Linked DNA regions of Coturnix japonica. The protein of the gene in region 1 purifies or fractionates together with the protein of each later gene. This does not show direct contact. Links are inferred from orthologs where the notes say so. Each region holds a gene or a part of one and is shown on either strand. Other genes may lie near its edges.

What was found.
Region 2: the proteins of PPP4R2 (region 1) and DHX38 purify together in Homo sapiens (affinity purification with mass spectrometry; 3 studies listed by BioGRID and IntAct, counting the BioPlex papers as one, with this or other methods). This does not show direct contact. The link is inferred for Coturnix japonica from reciprocal best matches to the Homo sapiens genes PPP4R2 and DHX38.

Annotation. Positions count from the first base shown.
Region 1 is NC_029527.1:13,943,597-13,949,009, reverse strand, and holds part of PPP4R2 (serine/threonine-protein phosphatase 4 regulatory subunit 2), read right to left. Parts: intron 2,285-5,413; coding exon 2,191-2,284; intron 821-2,190; coding exon 783-820; intron 504-782; coding exon 429-503; intron 1-428. UniProt on the Homo sapiens protein: Regulatory subunit of serine/threonine-protein phosphatase 4 (PP4). May regulate the activity of PPP4C at centrosomal microtubule organizing centers.
Region 2 is NC_029526.1:17,617,270-17,622,682, reverse strand, and holds part of DHX38 (pre-mRNA-splicing factor ATP-dependent RNA helicase PRP16), read left to right. Parts: intron 1-7; coding exon 8-167; intron 168-278; coding exon 279-397; intron 398-524; coding exon 525-601; intron 602-821; coding exon 822-977; intron 978-1,882; coding exon 1,883-2,044; intron 2,045-2,129; coding exon 2,130-2,237; intron 2,238-3,114; coding exon 3,115-3,227; intron 3,228-3,334; coding exon 3,335-3,472; intron 3,473-3,719; coding exon 3,720-3,906; intron 3,907-3,994; coding exon 3,995-4,180; intron 4,181-4,623; coding exon 4,624-4,764; intron 4,765-4,945; coding exon 4,946-5,056; intron 5,057-5,413. UniProt on the Homo sapiens protein: Probable ATP-binding RNA helicase. Involved in pre-mRNA splicing as component of the spliceosome.

The sequences.
Region 1 (5,413 bases):
AAATACAGAAAAGAAAAAATCCTCCAAAAAACAACCAATCCTTCTCTAAAAGGAATTTGCTCCAAACAGGCAGAAAGCAGCTATAAATCAGTTCCAAAAACATCTTGGGAGATACAATGGTGAGGTGGGCGCACTTCCCTATTTTACTCAATACAATTACTAAGCCTCCAATGGAAACAGTAACACAAAAAGTGTACAGTAAAAAAAATTCAAAGCAACAAGGTTACTAAAAAAAAAGTTCTAAGCAACAAGATGCATCAAATAAGATCATGGCATGTATCCCTACCATTCCTGTCCCATCCCTCTGTTGGTATTCGTGCCAAGACGCTGTCTATTTGGGATGAGAATAGGTAAAAACATAAGGGACCTGAGCTAGCTATTTCTGTGACAACCTTATTGAAAGTATTAACTCCCGGTGTTAAACTTACCTTTCAGAGTAACCTGGTGAATTTCCTGGGAACATTACACCATTCATCCGATTTAAACTACTCGAATTATTTTTCCTTAAACAAATACAATTAAGAAATAAGAATTAGAATGCTGTGAATAAAAAAATGTTTCCAAATTACTACATCGTATCTGTAAACACGTGCAGATCACTCTTACTACTGTTGAACTATTTATACTGAAAACCACACTCTGTGTACTTACTTTTGTATATTGGTACTATCAGGAAGAGAAGCACATTGCACAGGCACTCATTCTTCCACCCACTTTATATATACTTATACTATACTTATACAACATTGAAGTTCCAAGGAACTGAAGAACATCATACTTACTCCGAAGACGGATAAACACAGCTGACAACCATGACATTCTGTAATACACAAAAAATGTGATAAGTGCTCAGAAGTGGAAACTTCTGCTCTTGACAACAGCCCAGAACTTCAAGGGTTACTGCTCAAGTGCTTTCAAACAAGTTTTCTTTAGAGATATCAACAGATGGAAAAATTGAGAAAAACTGTCAGGCTCCTGCTCTGCAAGATCAGACCATAATTATATTAAAGGCCAGCATTTTTGTGAGTGGATTACTTGCGAAGATGACCAAACTAAACCTCAGGCCTAAGCCTTTCCAGCTTTTAATTGAAGTGTCCTTGTAAAGCAAAACAAAACGTTCTGCAGTGCTGGAAAACTCCTGAATGGCTGAAGAAACTACATTTGTACACATGGGCATCCAAGCACAAGAAGCTGATTGTGGCACAGTCTTACTTCCACTGTTACACTGTCCTGACCCCACATGAAAAGGGCAGAAATAACGAATTGTGTTTTGCTTATCTCTCTCTCTTCAATGGCACTGAAAACCAAATCCATTTTAACATCTCGGAATCCAGCCTAAAATTTAGGTACATTTGTCTTCTCGGAATCAACACTCAGAACAATTATATGCGGCCTTTTTTTTTTTCCCCTGCAGTGCCACCTAAATTAACCCAAACTAACCTTAATGAAAGACTGAACTTGAGGTACTGCTTCACAGAACTCATTTTGGCTGATCATTGCTTTGCAAAATCCATGTTACCATTTATTACTGACCATGTTCTTCTGAACTTGCAAGAATATCTGACTGTATCCTCTACAATAGTGAAAAAAGGCCCCTTTAAAAGGTAACTCTTGAAAAGTTAAGCTTTCTTTGACTGGATATTCTGAGTAGAAACTTAAAGCTAATTTTGCTATCAAGAAAATGCAATGTGGAACCACATTCTGAAAGTCCAGTATCTACTTCTGAAAGCTCCCAAATTAAAACTTCTATTTTATGAAGGTACACTGTGTGACATAAAAGGATTGAAAAACCCAGTACAAAAGACACTGTGGTGGAGAAAGGATTCCTTCTCCTCCATCTAATCTGAACCCAAATGTGAAAGGAAGTAACAGATAAAAAATAAATTATTCCAGCTGATTATTTGTTTTCAATTAGGACTCAATACGAAGAGTGGCATCATACCCTCCGGAAACTACAGTCTGAGTACTGTACACTGAGTAGGAAACACAACAGTTACAGCTTACACAAGTTGTTTCACAAGCTCTTTTGAAGTTAAAATATACAGAAGCAATTCACACAATTAAGAGTAGCTATTAGGTGTTCTATGACCGAGACATACTGAATCCATGAGGCCTTTGGTAGTAATTTGAAAGTCATTCAAATAGTAACTGTGATGGTTTAGCTGCGTGTTCTCTCAGAAAAATACATACCTTCTCCACACCTCTTAGAAATTTGTCAGTTCCTGTGTAATTCCTCCTAGGATCTGTTAGCAACTCACAGAGTCGCTGAATAGTGAAGGGGATGCTGCAATAAAATAGATTTATAACAATTTAATTTTATTTTAATGAGTATGACTGCAAGGAAGCAACAACATTATTGCTTCCCCCCCTTATGGAGAGGACTGAAGAAAAAATAGCACTGAAATTTGTTGTTCTTAGCAATATAGGATAAGTCAAAGCCTTATTTCCCTTAATTTCATATACTGAGATATTCTTTTATGCTCACCATGTCAGCTCTTAAGTAGCAACCTAAAGAAATCATCCCACAACTCAATCCATTAGAATGATGAAGAGGAAAATATTTAACTTCAGAAATCAGATAATCAACAGTAAAATAGTTGAAGACTGTATTTATTAGATAGAACAGAAAAGGAAGTGGTTCAAAACAAATTTGAGTCATACACACTACATCTAAATAAAAAATCTCAACTTGTAGTTTATTTCATGTTTTACAAAATACATTTACAAAAAGCATTAAGTATTGGAATTACTGGAATCATTAAGCTTTAATCATTACAAACACTGTATTTTGCCACAAAGTACACTTGTCTATCAAGGAACATCCCAATAAAAATAATTAGAGTAAGATATATGAATCAGTAATACCATGTTTGCACTTTGCTTTCTGACAAGGCTGCAGTTTCACCCTGCTTAGAGGAGAATCTGCCGCTTCAAGTTTGCAATGTGTACATATACCAACCAGTTACCTGAGATGTCACACATTCACTGCAAATTCATATACAATGTCACAATTTAAACAAATTTGACTTTTCACAAAATAACAAAATAGTTTGATTCAATAAAATAACGATCATTTATGCATTTTTACAGTTGACTGCTTCGAGTCAGACGTTAACACTTCAAAAATACATCTAAAAGAATATTTGGTACAGTGATACTTAAGAACCGGTTCTTAACTGAGAATGACTGATACACCAAATCCAGAGCATCACCAACAAGTGTGCATGCATGTACGTGTATGTATATAGCGTTATACTGGTATCTTTTTATATTCAACCTTTATTTTCTAAAGAACTGAGTACACACAGCATCTTAACCCTCATTTATTAATTAACGCAGCAACTCAAGCTTATTTCTTTAGCTAAAATGCCATGTTTTTAAAGATGCACAGATCTACCACTAGAGTTCAGTGAAAACATGACAGCACAGCTACCATCAATCATACTGCAGCACAACTCTCCAACTCAAGCAAGCAGGAGTGACCTCTAATTCCACTGTGCAGAACTGTCTGTGCATTATGTTACTGAGGAAGTTACAAACTTGAAAACATGCTGCAGTGTAACACCTTTAGCCCCAGCTCCAATGCAGCTATCTGAAAAATCAGACTGTCTACCACACTGACCCTGCTAATTAGTTAATAACTTCCATTTACCCTGAGATACACCATATCATCTTATCATTACTTCTAGGAATAGAGAGATGGTCAAGCTAACGCCCATCAATCAGCTGTGGACAGTTAGAATGCTGCCAACAAAGCACTGAATCAAGCACTGCTGCTGTTCAGTAGCTTCTGGTCACCCCGTGAGCATCCTGACACCAAGCTCTTCACAACGCTCAACCTCTGTGCAGTGCTCACCTTTAACCAACCTCCCACCTCCCCCACTCAGTCACAGAACCATGTCCTCCATCAGTTATCTGCTCCACATAGGTACAGCGATAATTGTACCTACTGTTTCTCATTAATGGCCATTTTGCCTTTGGGGTAAAAAGTCTTTAATTAGAGTCTTCCTGAAGTTTTAGAAGTTTAAACTGTCCATGCAAATTCAGGTTAGAGAAAAAATAGTATAAACAATTTTAAATGATCTTCTGTCAACCAAACGTACAAAACAACCTGGAGAATCTTGGCCTGGCTCCATTCTATTCAGCTGTATCTAATGTGGCACGTCAGAGTTTAAAGACGTGACACAACTTTTGCACGTCGATACAGTTCAGGTTACTGCAGAAGTAAGCAAATTCAAGAGAGCGTGGAGCCCAAAGCTTCACTCCTATTATACTGATAAGTTCAAGTAAAAGCTAAAACCAATTCTGTTCCTTCCTAAACTTTCCATAATAAGCTGAACTCTATTTACTGAGCAGTAGATGGCACCAAGTGTCACAGAATCGTATCCTCTGCATATAATTTGTTCAACATTTGTAAATCTTTGTAGTTTGCAAATCCCAACCAGAACTAGCTTCAGCACAGGTTAACTATGAATTATTTCATTTTAAAGTCCCTGTAATGTGAAAATACTTTAGTAGGAACTGAAATTGATATAGGTCTATACATGAACACTAACATGACAGTTGTGGGCAGTACGAGCAGCAATCTTTGCAAATGCTTAGAGAGATCATTGGTTCAGGGCACAAAGTGCAGGAGTGGTCCTGACCTGCCTTCTCAGGGTAACCACTATCTGCCTTAAAATCCTTCTAAATCCTGTCATTACAGCTAAAATACTCAGTCTTGTTCAAAATGAAGACTAAACTATTAGACACGCCATACATTTTACATGCAATACTGAGGAAAGCAGATGAACTGCCTAGAATGCAAAGTGCATTAATTGAATTTGCACTGTGATTATAAAGATTTATTTTTTTGATCCTATGAAGACTTTCTTGCCATCTAAGGTCTCCAATGACTGACTCGGAAACTTGCTTCAATAACAAAGGTAAAGAAAACAGCAAGTCTTTCAAGAACTTCCTACTCCAAAGGAACGGTGAAGCACAACACATGAATGTGGCTCAAGAAAAACATGACACATCCAATGTCAGTAAGATACAGCCAGGTTAAAACAGCCAATCTCAGATCTCTTTTCATGAAACCTTTCTGTTCTGACTTTATGCAAGTATTACTAAACACATCCTAACAATGAACTCATATTAAAGGGCTTCATCGAGCACCAAGGTACCCTGCAGTGACATGCACATCCCAGAAGTGTAAGAAGCCTAAATACACACAACTGCACAAACTGAAACCAGATTCTGTTAAAGTTTTGGACACATATTCCTATCACGAATGATACAGATTTCTAACACCATATCCTCACTGCAGGAGCTGTAGTTTTTACTGAATTAACTATTCCACAGCCCTAATTTCTGAAACATCCTGTTTTATTATGTTCTTAAAGACAGTTCATGTGCACAGTTTGCTTCCTCA
Region 2 (5,413 bases), on another chromosome or scaffold:
CTGCTAGATGCAGCCACACCGTCTCGCTCCAGCTGGGAGGAGGATGATAGTGGTTGCAGCAGTTCCCGCCGCTCGCAGTGGGAGTCTCCTTCTCCCACACCTTCCTATCGAGACTCAGAGCGCAGCCACCGGGCGTCACGGGACACAGATCGGAGAGACCGGGACAGGTATCAGTAGTTGGGCATACAGGCTGTGATTTGGTGATCTGCGAGAAAGGGAACGTGTAAAATGAACACCTGTATTTGTGCACTGATTTCTCTCTTGTGCTGTTTTCTCAGGTCTGTAAGGAGCAAGTATTCAGATAAGACACCATTGCCCACCCCGTCCTACAAATATAATGAGTGGGCTGATGACCGGAAACACCTGGGGTCCACACCACGACTGTCCAGAGGTAGAGGTGAGGAGCCTAGAGTGGGAGGTGACAGAGCCCCTGTGTAGCGTTAGCACAGGTTTTGTGGGATTTCCTCTGCATGCGACAGCCTGGTGGGACTGGTCGCCTGTGCTGACCATCTCACTTTCTTTAGGGCGGCGTGAGGACGGGGAGGAGGGCATTGCCTTTGAAACAGAAGAGGAGCGTCAGCAGTGGGAGGACGACCAACGGGTAAGAAGCCTGGGTAGGGAGCAGGGTGCTCAGTAGTCACCAGGTTCTTGGCTGCTGCCACTTACCCCAAGGCACCAGCAGGATCTCAGTCTGTCACTGGTGTTGTACCAGGCCACTGGTAGTAGGCAGCTTTCTCCCAGTAGCCAGGTGGGGATTGGCACTAGAGTCTATCCCAGCTGGGCAAGCAACACAGCTCAGCGCTGCATCTCTCTCCTCCTAGCAAGCAGACCGGGACTGGTATATGATGGATGAAGGCTACGATGAGTTTCACAATCCCTTGGCCTACTCCTCTGACGAGTATGTGAAAAAGCGGGAGCAACACTTGCACAAGCAAAAGCAGAAGCGTATCTCTGCACAGCGGCGGCAGATCAACGAGGTAGGGGCAAGATGTGGAGCTGGCTGCTCTGAATGTACAGAGGCTGCTTGTTTCGTTGCCTCTGGAGAGACCCACTTGTTGATGGGCTTGGCTGACAGATGGAAAAAGGCTGTCCTTGTCCTGGCCTATACCAAATGAGAGGCTCAAAAGGAAACTATTGTTATGTTTCTTTGGAAAGTGCAGTCCTGCATCTCCTGCATGGGTTGGAATTTACCATTAGAGTGACTGCAGTGGATGAGTGTTCAGAGCTGCAGGAATCTGAAGGGCTATGCTATGCAGGGGGCATAGATTACATTGTTAAGACTGTCTGCTGTTCCTCTGGCGGACTCTCAGAGCTGCTTCCCTCAGCATAAAAGTAGGTTTGTCTCCAGGCTTTCTAACGTATTCAGTGTATGGTAGGGGCGTTGTAGATTGTTTGCCTTCCATTTCCTTTGAGACAATTCTGTTTACTCCGTACTTTATGTGGCTAGTCTCCATTTACCATACTTGTCTTCAGATAGTGTTCTTTTCCTAATGCTTATTTGTGGTCTCTGTAACCTTCAGTGTTACTCCTCCACATTCCAGGCTTACTTATTTTTGTCTTTGGGTCTCCAAGCTCTTTCCCTTTTGGGGAAGGAAGACCAACAGATTCAGCATTGGATCATTTCAGTGCTTAAAGCTGTGTACTGTAACTGTGGTGTGTATTGTAGTCAGTTACAGATTTGCCTTCAGTAGTTAACTGCTTTTAACTTTTTCTTTTAAGAATAAATGAAGCCATCCTCATTTGCTCATGGTGTTGTAGTGCTTTGCAGCTAGCTGTGTTACTTAGTTTATTGCCTTGGAATTAGTTTGGGTAATGTGTGGTTCTTGAATTTTGGATAATGGAAGGTAATAGTTAAAATCTTCTGATATGTTCTTTCCTGCAGGATAACGAGCGTTGGGAGACAAATCGCATGCTGACCAGTGGTGTGGTTCATCGGATTGAAGTGGATGAAGATTTTGAAGAGGATAACTCAGCCAAAGTGCATCTGCTGGTGCATAACCTGGTGCCTCCTTTCCTAGATGGGAGGATAGTCTTCACAAAACAGGTAGAAGCTGTGGCTAACGGTGCCAATGATGGGGAGCCTCACAAATGTGAGCTCTCTGTGTTGAAGCAATGCCTCTTTCCTTTAGCCAGAGCCAGTCATCCCTGTAAAGGATGCCACTTCTGACTTGGCCATCATAGCCCGAAAGGGCAGCCAGTTGGTGCGCAAGCACAGGGAGCAAAAGGAGCGTAAAAGGGTATGTTGAGACCTCACTGTACGTGTTATGTAATGCCTCACAGCTTTTGTTTGGACTTTGTAGAATATAAGCTTTGATGGTAATGGTAATGTGTTCCCCTTATTTGTGTGATCTGACATATCCTGTTAGTCCAGTTCATTGCATTGTCTCACGAGTAGCTGTTGTGACTTCTTTAGGCACTGCCTGGGATGTTAATTACTGTGCATTTGTGCTGGGGAGTGTGATCCAAAGGGCATTTGGATGGGGAGAGAAGAGCAAGTGGAAGAATACCGTGTAGCTCAGGCACAGTCAACATTCAGTGTGGTAGCAGGACAGATCTCACCATGTCTCAGCAAAAGATTTTTGAGAAAGAATATACAGGAAGGTGGTGTATTAGTCTTTGTGGATGTTTCCCTAATAGAAAGACTTTCTCTAAAGCTTACATGATAGCAGTTAGGAAAGCATAGATGTGTTCATAGTAAACTGAATCTGAGCTGGTGTACTGTGAGTGGAAAGTGGGAAGTCCTGTTATGAAGCGTGAGAGAAAACAGAATGGTGAGAGTACCTGTCGATACCTGTTAATAGTAGGAAGATTAGCTCTGGTTCAGATTGTTGTTTGTTTAAGTGTAAATATAATGGAAGGGTCAGCAGCTGAAACAGTATTCATAGAGGGCTGTTGATCATCCTGTGCTTGTTGTGTCTTTATCCAAACCAGTGTCTAAAAAAGTTCTGCCCCAGTTTGCTTGGAGGATGGAGACTTGATATAGGAAATGTGTGTTCTCTCCTTAAGCACCAGGGGATTGAGGCAAACATGATTTTCTAGCCTTAGGAGTAGGACAGAAGGAGAATGATTTTTCAGTCCCCGCTGTGGTACTTACACTGCTCTTTGTGCTTCCAGGCTCAGCATAAACACTGGGAGCTGGCAGGCACAAAACTGGGAGACATTATGGGGATCAAGAAGGAAGAGGAGAAGGATGAGATGGTGACAGAAGATGGCAAAGTAGATTACAAGTAGGAGCTTTTGGATGATTTCTGCCTAGCTGGTGGTGTTATGCCTATGCTACAGGCAAAGCAAAGTGTGTGAGGAGACAGCTTCAAGACTTCTCATGTTTCCTTAGGACAGAGCAGAAGTTTGCTGAACACATGAAAGAAAAAAGTGAAGCAAGGAGTGAGTTTGCCAAGAAGAAGTCGATTCTGGAGCAGAGACAATATCTGCCCATCTTTGCTGTGCAGCAGGAGCTGCTTTCCATCCTCAGGTATGACTGCTCGGTAACCAGTTGTAGTGTAACCCTGGGGCTTTGGCTTACATTTCAGGATCCCAAGTGAGAAATTTACCTAGATATGTGTTCTGTTTGGAATCTTTGAAAACAAAGCTCATTGCTTTGTGTGATTGATAGCAGCTCTTCTGCCAAAGCAGGACTGCTTTTGTGTGGCCAGCCAGGGCTATGAATGAAGAAGGCTGTCTTTGTGGTGTATGAATAAATATTGTTCCCCTTTCTTCAGGGACAACAGCATTGTGATTGTGGTAGGGGAGACAGGGAGCGGTAAAACAACTCAGCTGACGCAGTACCTCCATGAGGATGGCTACACAGACTATGGCATGATTGGCTGCACGCAGCCCCGCAGAGTGGCAGCCATGTCGGTTGCCAAGCGGGTCAGTGAAGAGATGGGAGTGCGTCTGGGAGAGGAGGTGAGTCTGGCAGCATATGTAGGCATGCAGCCTCTAGACAGTGCATATGCAGAGCTGTTGAAGACTTGCTGATATCTCTGCCCCCCAGGTGGGTTATGCCATCCGCTTTGAAGACTGCACGTCAGAGAGCACGATAATCAAATACATGACAGATGGGATCCTCCTTCGTGAGTCGCTGAGAGAGGCTGACTTGGACAACTACAGTGCTATCATCATGGATGAGGCACACGAGCGCTCGCTCAATACTGATGTGCTCTTTGGCCTGCTTCGGGAGGTGTGTGTGAGCCTGGGCTACAGGAGGACAGCAACACGGGGCATATGAGCTGGTCTTAGGGCAGAATATTGGCAGGGTTAGTGCTTCTCCCCCAGGTCAGAGCAGAGATCATGAACAGAGACTGCTGCATCTCTGACTGCACTTGATGCTTAAACATCTTGTTCTTTGTTTCTTAAATCTCCCCTTTAGTGTACTGCCAAAGGCTTGCTGGTATAAAGTAGCTCTAGTTACAGAGGTGTTTGCAGGTGTAAGACTTTCTCAGCTGGGGACAGCCTGTCTTTTTAACTGGACAGTGTGTGTTTTCGTACCATGGCATTAGTGGTTAGTGTTTCTAGAGTACAGTGGAAGCTCAGCCCTTTGCTGTTTTTTTCAGTAGTGATGGAAGAAGCCTGGACCCACATACAAATACCACTTGTTTATTGTCCTTTTTATCTGTTTTCTAGGTGGTAGCACGTCGCTCTGATCTGAAGCTCGTTGTCACCTCTGCCACCATGGATGCTGATAAATTTGCCTCTTTTTTTGGGAATGTTCCCATTTTCCACATTCCTGGGCGCACCTTTCCTGTTGATATTCTTTTCAGCAAGGTATGGTCAATGTAGTAGAGAGAGTTTGTGTTGTGAAGGGATTGTAAGGGTTGTAACTTGGGTATGCCCCCCTCTGCAGTGATCAGAGAGGAAATACAAGGGATAACTGTTATGTTGCAGTCTTATACACAAAGTGGGGCAGATGAGATTACTAGTGTCTGATGTGAACTGTGTCTTTCAGACACCGCAAGAGGATTATGTGGAGGCTGCAGTGAAACAAGCTCTGCAGGTCCATTTGTCTGGTGCTCCTGGGGACATCCTTGTCTTCATGCCTGGTCAGGAGGATATTGAGGTGAGTTGTTAAGCCATGAACCAACAACGTGCCCTTGTAGCCAAGAAGGCCAGTGTTATCCTGGGGTGAATTAAAAAGAGGCTGGCCAGCAGGTCAAAGGAGGTGACCCTCACTCTCTACTCTGACCTGGTGAGGCCACATTTAGAATACTGTGTCCAGTTCTGGGCTCCCCAGGTCAAATAAGACAGGGATCTCCTAGAGGGAGTCCAGCAAAGGGATACAGAGATGATTAAGGACCTCTGGGGCATTTCATGTATGAGGAAAGGCTGAGTAACCTGTGTCTGTTCAGCCTGTGGAAAAGAGTTGAACTTGATCTCCTGAGGTCCCTCCCAACCCCTACAATTCTGTGATTCTGAT